Arabidopsis thaliana: one gene and its partners. The protein of the gene in region 2 binds, or shares a complex with, the protein of the main gene of each other region. Each region holds a gene or a part of one and is shown on either strand. Other genes may lie near its edges. The genes, in order: LSM1B, LSM2 and LSM3A.

The links.
Region 1: LSM2 (region 2) and LSM1B share a complex: the UniProt entries of both Arabidopsis thaliana proteins name them as parts of the heptameric LSM1-LSM7 complex.
Region 3: LSM2 (region 2) and LSM3A share a complex: the UniProt entries of both Arabidopsis thaliana proteins name them as parts of the heptameric LSM1-LSM7 complex.

Annotation. Positions count from the first base shown.
Region 1 is NC_003074.8:4,665,352-4,669,731, forward strand, and holds LSM1B (Small nuclear ribonucleoprotein family protein), read left to right. Parts: upstream 1-1,956; 5' UTR 1,957-2,140; exon of another isoform or gene 2,141-2,250; 5' UTR 2,251-2,365; coding exon 2,366-2,426; intron 2,427-2,978; exon of another isoform or gene 2,979-2,998; coding exon of another isoform or gene 2,999-3,029; coding exon 3,030-3,098; intron 3,099-3,189; coding exon 3,190-3,305; intron 3,306-3,390; coding exon 3,391-3,453; intron 3,454-3,560; coding exon 3,561-3,638; 3' UTR 3,639-3,843; downstream 3,844-4,380. Other genes in the region: AT3G14075 (Mono-/di-acylglycerol lipase, N-terminal;Lipase, class 3), read right to left, coding at 32-304, 388-585, 691-987; EXO70D3 (exocyst subunit exo70 family protein D3), read right to left, coding at 4,157-4,380. UniProt on the Arabidopsis thaliana protein: Component of the cytoplasmic LSM1-LSM7 complex which is involved in mRNA degradation by promoting decapping and leading to accurate 5'-3' mRNA decay.
Region 2 is NC_003070.9:817,315-821,102, reverse strand, and holds LSM2 (Small nuclear ribonucleoprotein family protein), read left to right. Parts: upstream 1-1,539; 5' UTR 1,540-1,805; coding exon 1,806-1,808; intron 1,809-2,024; coding exon 2,025-2,183; intron 2,184-2,822; coding exon 2,823-2,942; 3' UTR 2,943-3,169; downstream 3,170-3,788. Other genes in the region: AT1G03340 (uncharacterized protein), read right to left, coding at 1-365, 437-508, 602-944, 1,026-1,206, 1,320-1,391; AT1G03320 (uncharacterized protein), read right to left, coding at 3,336-3,788. UniProt on the Arabidopsis thaliana protein: Component of LSM protein complexes, which are involved in RNA processing. Component of the cytoplasmic LSM1-LSM7 complex which is involved in mRNA degradation by promoting decapping and leading to accurate 5'-3' mRNA decay.
Region 3 is NC_003070.9:7,419,156-7,422,863, reverse strand, and holds LSM3A (Small nuclear ribonucleoprotein family protein), read left to right. Parts: upstream 1-1,906; 5' UTR 1,907-2,007; coding exon 2,008-2,124; intron 2,125-2,376; coding exon 2,377-2,472; intron 2,473-2,794; coding exon 2,795-2,875; 3' UTR 2,876-3,200; downstream 3,201-3,708. Other genes in the region: AT1G21200 (sequence-specific DNA binding transcription factor), read right to left, coding at 50-1,381; SEC5B (Exocyst complex component SEC5), read right to left, coding at 3,453-3,668. UniProt on the Arabidopsis thaliana protein: Component of LSM protein complexes, which are involved in RNA processing. Component of the cytoplasmic LSM1-LSM7 complex which is involved in mRNA degradation by promoting decapping and leading to accurate 5'-3' mRNA decay.

The DNA of each region.
Region 1 (4,380 bases), on a different chromosome or scaffold from region 2:
ATAAAGATTAGAGAACGGGCTACAAAAGTACCTTGATTTTGTAATCTGGATATTGCTCAAGACCCTTGAGAAGACAAGGGGTGGCAAGTTTAGCTATACACCGGGCAGCAGCAACCATACCACAATGAGCATAACCTAAGACCAAATTGCTGACCCCTCTTTCATTTACAACAGTATGATGGAACGGTACGATTGCTCCAGTTGCAGCAGTCAAGGTATCTTTGATGCTATGCGTTCCACGAATCAATAACAGAAAATATTTTGTATTGTGATCGACAAGAACCGTAAAAGCTGGCTTCAATATCTACATGGTGCAAAATTCAAAACTAAACTTCTCAATTTCTATGTTGAAAAAGTGCCTAAGAGTTGAGAGTTGTTAAAGTTTACCCCAGCTTTGGGTTCATGAATAAGGACATTTTCCTTTGTAAAGCCGGTCTCTTCTAAGAAAAACGGAAACGACTTCTTGGAAAAATGCCAACACAATGTCAACAAGTGCAAAAGATATTTGAGTTCAGTGGCTACTTCTGATCCTCTAAGTTCTACACTATCTTTACCACCAAAGACACGATCAACATGTAGAAGTCCCTACGGTTTTAGGTACACAATTACAAAAAGTTCAATTTTGACCACAAGATAATTAGAAAAAAATCCAGAACTTAAGACCGTTAAAACGATGAAGAGATGTTATACCTGCCTCTTGATGAGAAAATTGATCCCAAACGCAAGATCACCAATAGGCCACTTCCCAAGAGTCTCAGAGTAAGTAAAACGAAGAGTCTCAGAAAGAGTAGAAATAGTCTCCAACCAAGTTGCCGGAGCTTGAATAAGCCTATGCGAAACACGGTCAATCCTCAAAGAAGGACGAGAAGCAGAAGCTTCAGAATTCTCATCGTCAACGTCAGATGGACCAGCTATTAATTTCCGATTCAACGTGTAATATAAAAGAGCAGCTGCTCCAGCTGCTGTTGCCATAGTTGCAGTTGCCATGATCAATCTATCCCTAAAATCATCAATGAAACAAATTCGCTCAATCCAAGACGAAACTCAATCTAATAAGAATACAAAATTTAAAGACAAAATCGATTGAAACTACATTGGATGCCACAATTTCAATCTCCAGATGCGTTCTTAAGTATCTCAGACTTATTCCAGAAATCTCCAAAAACATGTAAAGCTGGAAAATTGGATATAATTTCGTACAAAGAACATTCTTTTCACCAATTAACCCCAAAGAATTCGGGATACAAAAAAAAGAAGCCATTAATAGAAAACTCTCACTTTCCTGAAACTTCTCGAATACCACAACAAACCCTACTCCTGATAACTATCGCGTCTTTTAACCGATGCAAATCATAAAATTGAATGTGATTTAGCTTAAAATTGAACAGGATCGGTGAACTATAGAAACAAAACCCTAAATCCTACCCCAAGAATAGCATCGTTAAAACACGAAGTTCTTTGTGAATCAAACCTGGAAAAATAAGACGAAATCGTGACCTTAATTTGAGGGTTTTACAGTGGAGAAGGAAGGTTAAGGTTGCTTTAGCTTATGTACGATATCTCCGGGAAGGGGAAGCTGCTTTCTCTCCGATGATGTTGTTAGCTACAAGATGCTGCAATGCAAAAGTGTGAAAACAGAATTTTTTGTTTTGCTTTAAATAAACTGCGCTACGTTTTTGTGCTAAGCGAACGCCGCGTAGTTTCGCGCCGCCGAGATCTGATGCTTACGTGGGAATATATTATTGGATGACTTACCCATAAAAGCGTTTTAACATAAATCAAGCAGTAAATAATAATAGTGTTAAATCGACTTTTTTGGTCCATAAATTAAAATTTATTCGAAACAGATATTTTATTAGCTTGGAAGATTAGTCTCATTTATTTAAGAAACATTCAGTCACAATAATTATTAGGAAATTTAACATTAAATTGGAAAGTGCTTAAAGTATTAAAGTACAACGTCTTATCTATCGAGTTAAGAAATCGTGGACATTGCTTGAAAATAATAAAAAAGGGACAGTGGACGGATTTGCTCGCTAGTTTTCTCTTCGAATTTTCCACAAACAAATTTTCTCAGCCAAAGTTCGATCGGATCTGGGTTTTATATTTTTTTGAAGAACCCGTGTCCGTCTTCGATCAGGTGTCGAAAGTCTCAATCTTTTTTAATCACTTTATCAATTTAAACCCTTTGGTCAAAACCCTAATTTAGATTTCTCTTTCCGTCTTCACTTTTTTTTTTTCCTGTCAAAGTTCGCGTTCAATAGCCAAATCTTATCTCTTCAGCTGGAATCTGACGAACATTATTATCATCGGTAGTGTTCTATAGAAAGACCGAAAGTTTTCTTCAATTTCAAAGTCAGTGGCGATGTCGTGGGCTGGTCCTGAAGAAATTTATCTTTCAACATCACTCGCTAGTTATCTCGATAGTAAATCCGTCTCTCTTTCTCTCTGTTTCACATATTTGTTGAACCGTATGAATGCATGTAGTTAAAATAATTGGCCGTGATGGCTCTGTACGCATTTGGGAGCTCAATTTTGCAAACAATTCTCTGTTTTTTTGACGTTTGATTTTGACTTCTTATTGATATATAGGCTGTACTATTTTGTGGCTGTATCCAAAGCTTGTCAATTTTGGTGTTGAATTGTCTCAAAGAGACATTCATTGATTAAGATATTGATTATTGAATCAAAGCTTTAGTTTTTTTTTAATTGGGTCAAATCTAACTGTTCATCAGTTATTGTTGTCAAGCTAAATTTTAGCATGCGTGAGAGATTAGATGTGATTGAGGTTGCTGGCTCACTCTTTATTCAACTTACGAAGTATAAACTTTAACCTTTGTTGAAATTTAATTCACTATCGGCTTTTTGATGTTGGTTCTTTGAGTTTAAAAGTCAATGATCTTCTTTTGCTGATGTTTTTGGGCTATGAGTTAGTTCTCAATCTCATTTGGCGTACCGTTTTCTTTTTTAGATATGAATCAATGTGCATCAGTTACTTATGTATGTTGGCTCTGCTCTTGATGATGCAGGAAAACTACTTGTGCTTCTTAGAGATGGTAGAAAGCTAATGGGAACACTCCGTTCCTTTGATCAATTCGGTATTCACTTTTCTTTCCATGTTTCTAGATTTACGATATTGTTGATGAGCGGGAGAGATTTGACTTTTTTTTGTTCGTTGTAAATACACAGCCAATGCGGTTCTAGAAGGTGCGTGTGAGAGGGTAATTGTTGGTGAACAATACTGTGACATTCCTTTAGGCCTCTATGTAATCCGTGGAGAGAATGTTGTTTTGATTGGTGAGCTGGTAAGACTTCTCCTTGTTTGTCTTTTCTTGCTGTGTCACCTCGTGTTTTCCAATTCACTGAGTTTGACCTTAAACTATGTATTAGGACACGGAGAGAGAAGAGCTTCCTCCACATATGATTCGCGTCTCAGAGGCAGAGATTAAAAGGGTAAGACATCGCATAACATGTTCATTTTGATTAGCCAAATTTGATTCATTTGTGATGCTGTGTGCGTGCTGATGATTTGGTTTTCGGGAATCTGTCTGTTGATGCAGGCACAAAAGGTGGAGAGGGAAGCGAGTGAGCTGAGAGGAACAATGAGGAAGAGAATGGAGTTTCTTGACTTTGATTAAACCAGATTGTATCCCCATTCATTATTGGCTTGATGCTCTGCTTTGGCTCGCAAGTTTTATGATGAGCCTTTTTGGTGTGTTGACTTAGGGGATCGACGCAATTCTTGTGTTTCATTTTGGATGAATATGACAATAAATCTGTGTACTTTTGTCTTTGGATCTATTTACCTTTTTAAGAAAAAAATGTTAAGCAATTTCTTTCTCTATTTTGGAACTTTTAAACAAGGAGCTTGCCTATGGCTACTACCAAACGGAACAAAAATGGAGCAAATGAGTAGAGGACGTCGCACATTGCAAAATTTACATGGTACTTATTGGTTCTGTGATCAATCAGGACTTTTATAAATAGAAGACATATGGCACAAACAACAACACACAAATATGTTCACCTGGAGATTATTCCACCGGGCAGGAAACCCGTGAATAAAAATTCAAAGAATGGTTCTATTTCTATGACATCCTAATGTGACTGAAAAACGAAAGAAAGAAGATAGAACTCTCGGGTTTTCGATCTTCTTTTATCGCCTCCTCAAGTGTGGTGGTGTGGTATATCCTTCGAAGAAATCTAGAACGATGGTCTCGATATCTTCAACCGAATATTTCAAATAGTTCTCAGGGTGTCTTCCACTCTCTATATGACCCCTGAACCTTCCAAGAAACGATCTATAAGCAGGGATTAGATGCTCGGATAGCGATATTCGGAGTTCTTCTCTAAGCTGAGCATCTGGAACCGACCATGTGG
Region 2 (3,788 bases):
GGGCTTCCCTGAGTCTACTCACAGACCACGAGAGCAATACCAAACTCAAACTCATTGCACCCTCGAAGAATTGGTTTGCGCAAAAGGGTACCTGCCTGGAAGCAACATTACAAACGAGAAAGAAGAGCACAGCCATACCAGTGCCAGCAAAGCCAATTGAACACTGAGTCAAAAGCTCGAAGAGTTCTCCACGTGATTTCTTTAGAGATAGCATTGTGGTTTTTCTATGTTGTTCATTGCCTATCATCAGAGAGAGAAGGCTCTCACACGCATGAAGACGGTTTCGTTCGTAGAGGTCATATTCCTTATCTCTTATCTTCGGATTTTGTTTCTTTGGTGAAGGCTTGAGCCTGGTTTTCTTCGGACTGTTGGAAATCGAAAGAAACGTTTTTTAAAGATGCAAAAGTACCAAAAACTAGTTGATGATATTAGATACCTCTTTGGAGGAGCTAGTGTAACTGCGTCCTCGGGTAGCTGCAGAGTGTCTATTGGTACTTCACTGTCGAATCTGCAGAATGAGAGGAGAGCAAAAACTTAATGTTAAACCCAAAAGGATGAGACTCATAGGTATGAATCAAACTTGCAGTGAAGAATTAACTACCGCTGAAACTGCGGGACAAGCCGTGAGAGCTTTCTCCATCTTGTTGAGTTCCTTAATCTATGAAACTCAGCTGCCGTAGAGACCAAATCATTCAATTCAGCTCTGCTACTTGAGAACAGAATGTTAGCATCCACCATGAGATCCAATAACGGCTTTGCATATGGTTGCTGAGAACTTGATCTTAAAGCATCTAGACCCATCAATTCAGATAGGAGAGACAAATCGAATCCTTCTTCTTTGAGTTCTTCTTCTGATCTAGACAAAAGGAACTCTAACACCTCCTCTTTTCTTGCATACTGCTGAGTGATCCCCAAGCTTAAACACACAGGGTCTGGTCCAGTTTCTGTTAACCACAGTTCATGTCAGTCGAAAAAAGGGATTACAATTTGGTGAATTCAACTGAAATTTGATCAAAGTCACATACCATGAACATCCATGAGTCTATGCTTCATCATGGTTGAATCAAACTCCAAAAAGTGGTTAGACTTACTAAAAGAAGAAAAAGGTTTCAATGGCTCCAAGAGTTGTGATTTCAGGTTAAAGGAGCTCTCCGGTAATATCTCATATTTTCTTCCTCCAGGATTCACCAGATAAGCCCGGCTTGTCTGAATCATTCATAGACATAAGAACCAAACAAGGAGAAGACAGAACCAGGACAAGAATTCAACGAGAGATTCTAAACCCAAGTGTTTTAAAACAGAGAAAGTAAAAAACTGACCTTGATGATCTCGTTGCTTCTTAGCTCTTGAAGGAGACTAAACCTAAGTGTTGAATAGCTATGAGAAGCCATTGAGAAAAAACTGACTTCTTATTTTTTTTTCTCTTCTTCGTCACAAAACCATGGAAACAAAACGAAAAAGCTTATCGTCAGCAATCTCGCCTATATATGCGTCAGATATTATAAGATTTGTGTAAATCTTTTCTTTATTCAGTTTTGGCTGGTGACCAAAACACACTTTGAGTTTTTAAATATTTACCCTTTGAGGCACTTATTACTTAAATTACCAAGAACATACCCAATCTTTTCAATAATTACATAAATATACCTTTGGTTTCTTATATTCTCGAAATTAACCCAAAGATCATTAGGGTACATACATTCTTTACTCGAGAGAGAGAAGTTCTAAAGTCCTCAAATCCCGCAAAGCTTTTTCAGCTTCTTTGTTGAATTGCGAGCAGAGGTAGAAATCAGCAGGAAACAAAAATGGTAAATTTGAATGCTTTCTTCATCTTCATGAACTTGATTGTTGGCAGTTGTTTTGTTTGACCTAGAAAAGGTTTCTTCTTTCTTCGTAATTATTCATGGGTTTACTCTTTTTTAGCCAATGGTTCTAGGGTTCTTGGAGATTTCGAGTTTATGGTTTTCGATGATGATTTAGGGTTTCTCGTGATGGGTTTTGATTGTGTTTGTTCTCTGGTGCAGTTGTTCTTTTCTTACTTCAAGGATTTGGTTGGACAAGAAGTGACGGTTGAGCTGAAGAATGATTTAGCCATAAGAGGAACTCTTCACTCAGTTGATCAGTATCTGAATATCAAGCTCGAGAACACTAGGGTTGTTGACCAGGACAAGTACCCTCACATGGTAAATTTTCTTTCTTTTAAGCGATTTCTCTAAGAATTGGGAATTTAGGGTTTATTGGAGCAGCCTATTGTTTTTTTTTTGTTCACATAGGCAATATTTTCTTTGTTGTGTGTGCTTGAAGTGCTCTTAAGTGTTTGACATTATACTGGAATTGATCTCACTCGCTAGTTTCTTGCTATACTTCTTTGTCTCGTATTGTAAAATATCACTTATGAACTGATTGAAAGCTTAATCCTTGGCTCTTGCAAATGTGTTTAAGCCTTCACTCTTTTCTTTTTCCTTGCTTTCATTTACTGTGACCAAGCTTGAGAAGCTCTAACGTGATATTGATTAGATTTACAGACGCAAAGGGATGATTTGAAGTGATTAGTGGTTCTGGTTCACATATTTGATTGAGATTGCTGCTTTTGTACTGCAATTTGTCAAGTCTACTCAGGATTACAAAAGATTTGCAATATGTTTGCATGACCAATTTCAATGCATTTAGGTTTTATGGCGTTTATATTGTTATATCTTTGGCACTGTATTTCTTTATCTTGTCAGTGTCACACTTTAGAAACCTTGTCAAATAGTACAATTTCGCTAGAATCCTCCCGAAGATGTTTTTAGCTGACGGATTTGTGTGTTTGTTCTGTGTAGCTTTCAGTGAGAAACTGTTTCATCAGAGGATCTGTGGTAAGGTACGTGCAGTTACCTAAAGATGGAGTCGATGTTGATTTGCTTCACGACGCAGCTAGAAGAGAAGCTAGGGGTGGCTGATTCTGAAATATCTTTGTATCTCCAAAACTTGAATACTTTTCATTCGGCGTAATGGCTTTATAATGAATATTTCCCTGATGTAGAGCCAATGGTATGGCCATGAATCTTGTTCCATTTTATTAACAATGGATAATTTAATTTCTTTTCCTCGTTCAAATGAAAAGCTTATTAAAGCCTACTTAGAAACACCTTCACTCTTGTCAGGCTGTCACTACTTAAGTTTTTCCCTTTCTTAGATGAAGCAAGCAGAGGAAAAACATATAGACTCAGTAAGAAGGAACTTATATAAAGTAATATGAGTTCTTGTTTGCATAGCAGCAATAGGACCTTAACTCTTGTCATTAATTTAGTTTCTTATTTCTGAGATGAAGCAAACAGAGGAAAAACATAGACTCATGAATAAAAATAGGAGTAATTTTCTGCATAGGTAGTGTAACGCTTCATAGGATTTGCATCCATGTACGGTCTGGTTTGCCAATAGGGGAAAGGACCAGCTGCAGCCATATACGGATATGCTGCAGCCATAGGCGGATATTGTGAAATGTGAACACCATCGAACATTCTGGGTCGAGGCATGGATTGGTATGGATCAATTGGACCACCACAAGGTCCACAACCACCATATGGTCCATGCATTGCCCCCATCGAAAACGGGGGATAATGGCTTCTCGAGGCTGCGGATATGGGCCACCGGTGTAAAGGATTGTGTCCACCATGGTACATCATCGGTTGAGCGGTGTAACAAGGCGGCGGCGGGTTCACACCATTTTTCTCGCTTGGCAAGTTTTTACCACCATTTTCCTCGCTTGACAAGTTTTTACCATCACCCTTCTCTTTCTTTGTACT
Region 3 (3,708 bases), 6.6 Mb from region 2:
TTCATTTAGCAAAGCTATATACCAATCAAGAGAAGTGAAGCCAATTCCGTTATAATTCAACACCCAATTCCCTTTGTTTCAACTCCAATCCCATCCGATCATTCTCAAGTTTCATCCTTTCATTCTCCATTCTCATTCTCTCGAGTTCTTGATCCCTTTTCTTGCTAAACCTCTGCCACCTGAATCTCTGTTTCTCCAATTCCAGCAATTCAACTTGGATCTGAAGCTTCTGCTCTTCTAGCTGGAGAGTCCGCGACTCCATCCACTGCTTCTGCACCGAACCTGCTCTTCCACTCTCCGCCCCACCTTGATTCACATCAGCTTGAGAAAACGGTATTTGAGGTAAAGAGACTTTATTACACTCCAGAGAATTCACATGACTCGGATGATCTCCATCTTCATGGCTAAGGCTTGGTCTTATCTTCTTCAAAGGACCACCACCACCTCCATAATGATTTACCCTACAATCTCCATACGCATAATGTTGCTCCTCATACTCATCATGTTCATCACCATCACCATCATGATCCTCATCATCAAGATCCTCCATTTGATGTTTCCTAGAATCATCATTATCATGATCATCTCTGCTTCTAAGCGCCAACTGTAACGAACGCTGCAAAGCAAGGTCATGAGGCAAATGCAACCTATTCCCATTATGATACGAACACATCTCTTCATAAAAAAGATGTTTAGAACTCATAATCTTCCTAACATCATCCTTCTCTTTATCATTCAAGTAACCAATCGAATCCAAAAGCGCAGGATTCTCAACAACTTGACAAGATGTTCCTCTACCAAGCATATCATTAAGCTTCTTATACCGTTTATTCAAATCATTGAACTTATCCTCACATTGCTGCGGCGAAACATGATAACCTCTCTCAGCCATAACTTTAGAAACAGATTTCCACTTCCCTTTCTTCTGCAAAACAGCAAACTTTCTTCTACTACTACTATCTATACTCGAATCATCTCCTATATAAGAAACAGCAGTAATCAACAACTTCACCATCTTATCAGTCCATTTCACTCGTTGCCATGGAGATCCTTTAGTTGATCTATTAGCTTCATTATGAACACCATCACCACCTTCCTCTGTGAAACTTGGTTCATCATCATCACTCACTGAATTCTTCTCTCTTTCAGCTTTCTGTTGCTCAGACATAGACATGTTCTGATTCTGATGATGATCACAGGTTTGACCTGTAACCATAGTAAAGGGAAGACCTTCATGAAGTGGTCTAGAATTAGGATTGTGTCGATGCTGCTGATTCATGGAGTCTTGGTGATGAACTCTCATAGAACCTTGTAAATCAAATCCTCCATAAGATGAAGCTCCACTACGAACTACACCTCCTTGTGGAAAATTCCCATCCATTTTTGGATCAAATTTCTTCCTAATTCATCAGAGAAATCGAAGAGAAAACAGATCTCAAAAAGTCAAAACCTTTGTCAACAAAATTAGTACTGGATCTTAGGGGAATATTAAAGATCGAAACTTTAGGAGAGAATGAAGCAGAGAGGAATCGGGATGAAGAAAATAAAGCGGTAAATATATGAGAGATGAGTCAAAGGAAGTAAAACTCACAGAAAAAAGTTTGCTTTCGTCTTCTCCGGTCAGCTTCCTCAGGTTTCTCTTCTCTCTCTGTATATGACAAAAGGCTTTTTGATTAAAACAACCAATATAAAGATTATAGTAAATTTAGTGTAATGAAATGACCAATTGATACCTTGTGATTGGACTTAATATAGTTAAGTTCCACTAACCATGATTTATTTGCATTAGATGATTTATTATCTTCATAATACTTCGACGAAAAAAAAAAAAAGAGCTAACCATATTGGGCCGATATGAGAGCCCAAAAACATAGTAAAAGGCCGAATCGTAAGATGTTGGTTTGAAGTTTTTAGGGAACCAACGGTGGCGATTGCTTGAGCTCAGTCAGAGAGATATCGCCGAGAGCACTACAATTTCAAAACCCTCGGAGAAGTTATAATCAGAAAATGTCAGTCGAGGAAGACGCCACCGTTAGAGAGCCACTCGATCTGATTCGGTTGAGTATCGAAGAGAGGATCTATGTCAAGCTCCGATCTGACCGTGAACTCCGCGGCAAGCTTCACGTACGTTCTTAACCACTCGGATTCCAGAAACCAGTAACCAGATGTGATCTTTTTCGATTTTGAGCTCCTTTTTGAATTCCTTATTCGTTGAATTTAACACTAGTTTTTATTCTTTTCACAAATATCAAAATTTGGACCCATTTTGTTGAGTTTCAGTTTCGAAAGCCTCAGCGAGAGCTAATTGGCGTAGAAAACCTCATAATCTTGTTAAATTCTAAGACTCTCACTTTTGTTGTTGTTTTTGTGGTGTAGGCTTTTGATCAGCATTTGAATATGATTCTGGGTGATGTTGAAGAGGTTATTACGACTATAGAAATCGACGACGAGACATATGAAGAGATTGTTCGGGTATGTAATTCTCTTAGCTCAATAAGATTTATTAATCTATGTAGGCTTTAGTAGTAAGATAAACGTTTTTGGGTTCAAAATATTTCAGCTATCACAGTATCTATTGTCTATGTCTCTGTTTGAGTTTAAAGGAGAGCTTGATTCATGTAGAAGTTAATAGTGCTGGTTACATAGAGAGTGTTCATTACCAATATAGTAACTCTGTTTAGTTTCTCAAACTTGAATTTTGTTGTTTGCGCTCCAAATGTGATGTGCTAACTTCTCATTAGACTAGTGTAGAATCATATGTTCTTCTCCTGCTGATGTAACTTGCTTCTGTCAGACAACGAAGCGAACGGTACCGTTTCTATTCGTGAGAGGAGATGGAGTGATATTGGTGTCACCGCCTTTGAGGACGACCTAAATGTTCTTGTGTACTGGGATCGGAGTTAACAAATCTGGCGCTGAGTAAAAGCACTTTTTTCTGATTACTTGGCTTTTGAATTTGTAATTGTGTGGTATGTTTTTCTTTGTTGTCAAACATTGAAACCGAATGTAGCATTCGAATCTTGGTAATGGGTGCCTCGTTATAGTAGAATCAGTGTAACATACTTCGTATTGTGACTTTCTTACCGTTTACGATCGGATTTAGTTTCGTTTTCTGGTTTGGTGTAGTTTTCTCTAAAGATTTGTATACTTCCTCAAACTCATTGATTTCGAGCTCTATTATGAATAGTGATTGGTGACATATTTAGATGTGTGTAACCCTAGGAAAGACATTTTGATTAACCAAACCATCAAATTGATTCACAGTACAGGAGGCTGAAAACGCAAACAAGATTGATTTCATGAGAAAAGATTAATGTAATTGTAAGCATGTAAATTTACAGTAAAAAAAAGATTAGTGATGAAATTAAAAGTTTTGAGGTATCTATCGTAAGATATAACTTGTCATGATCACCAACACGCTTCGAGCATAGTAACAATGGAGAAGAGAAGTCTTATCTTCGTCTGGGTCTGGCTTGAACCGGAGAACCCATTGGTTGTGACTCTCTATAGTTTCTGCTTGGAGAATCAGTTGATGTTCTGGAGTAGGCAGCTTTGGCTACTGGTGGCACTGGATCCAACGGAATGGTCTCAATGAAACATGCACTGTTCAAACGGGTCTTCTCTAGCTCCAGTTGAAGCATTCCGCTTGTACATTGCTGTGCAAGAGCCTAAAGCAGCAACAGTAACAAAGCAAACCCGCTTTTAACT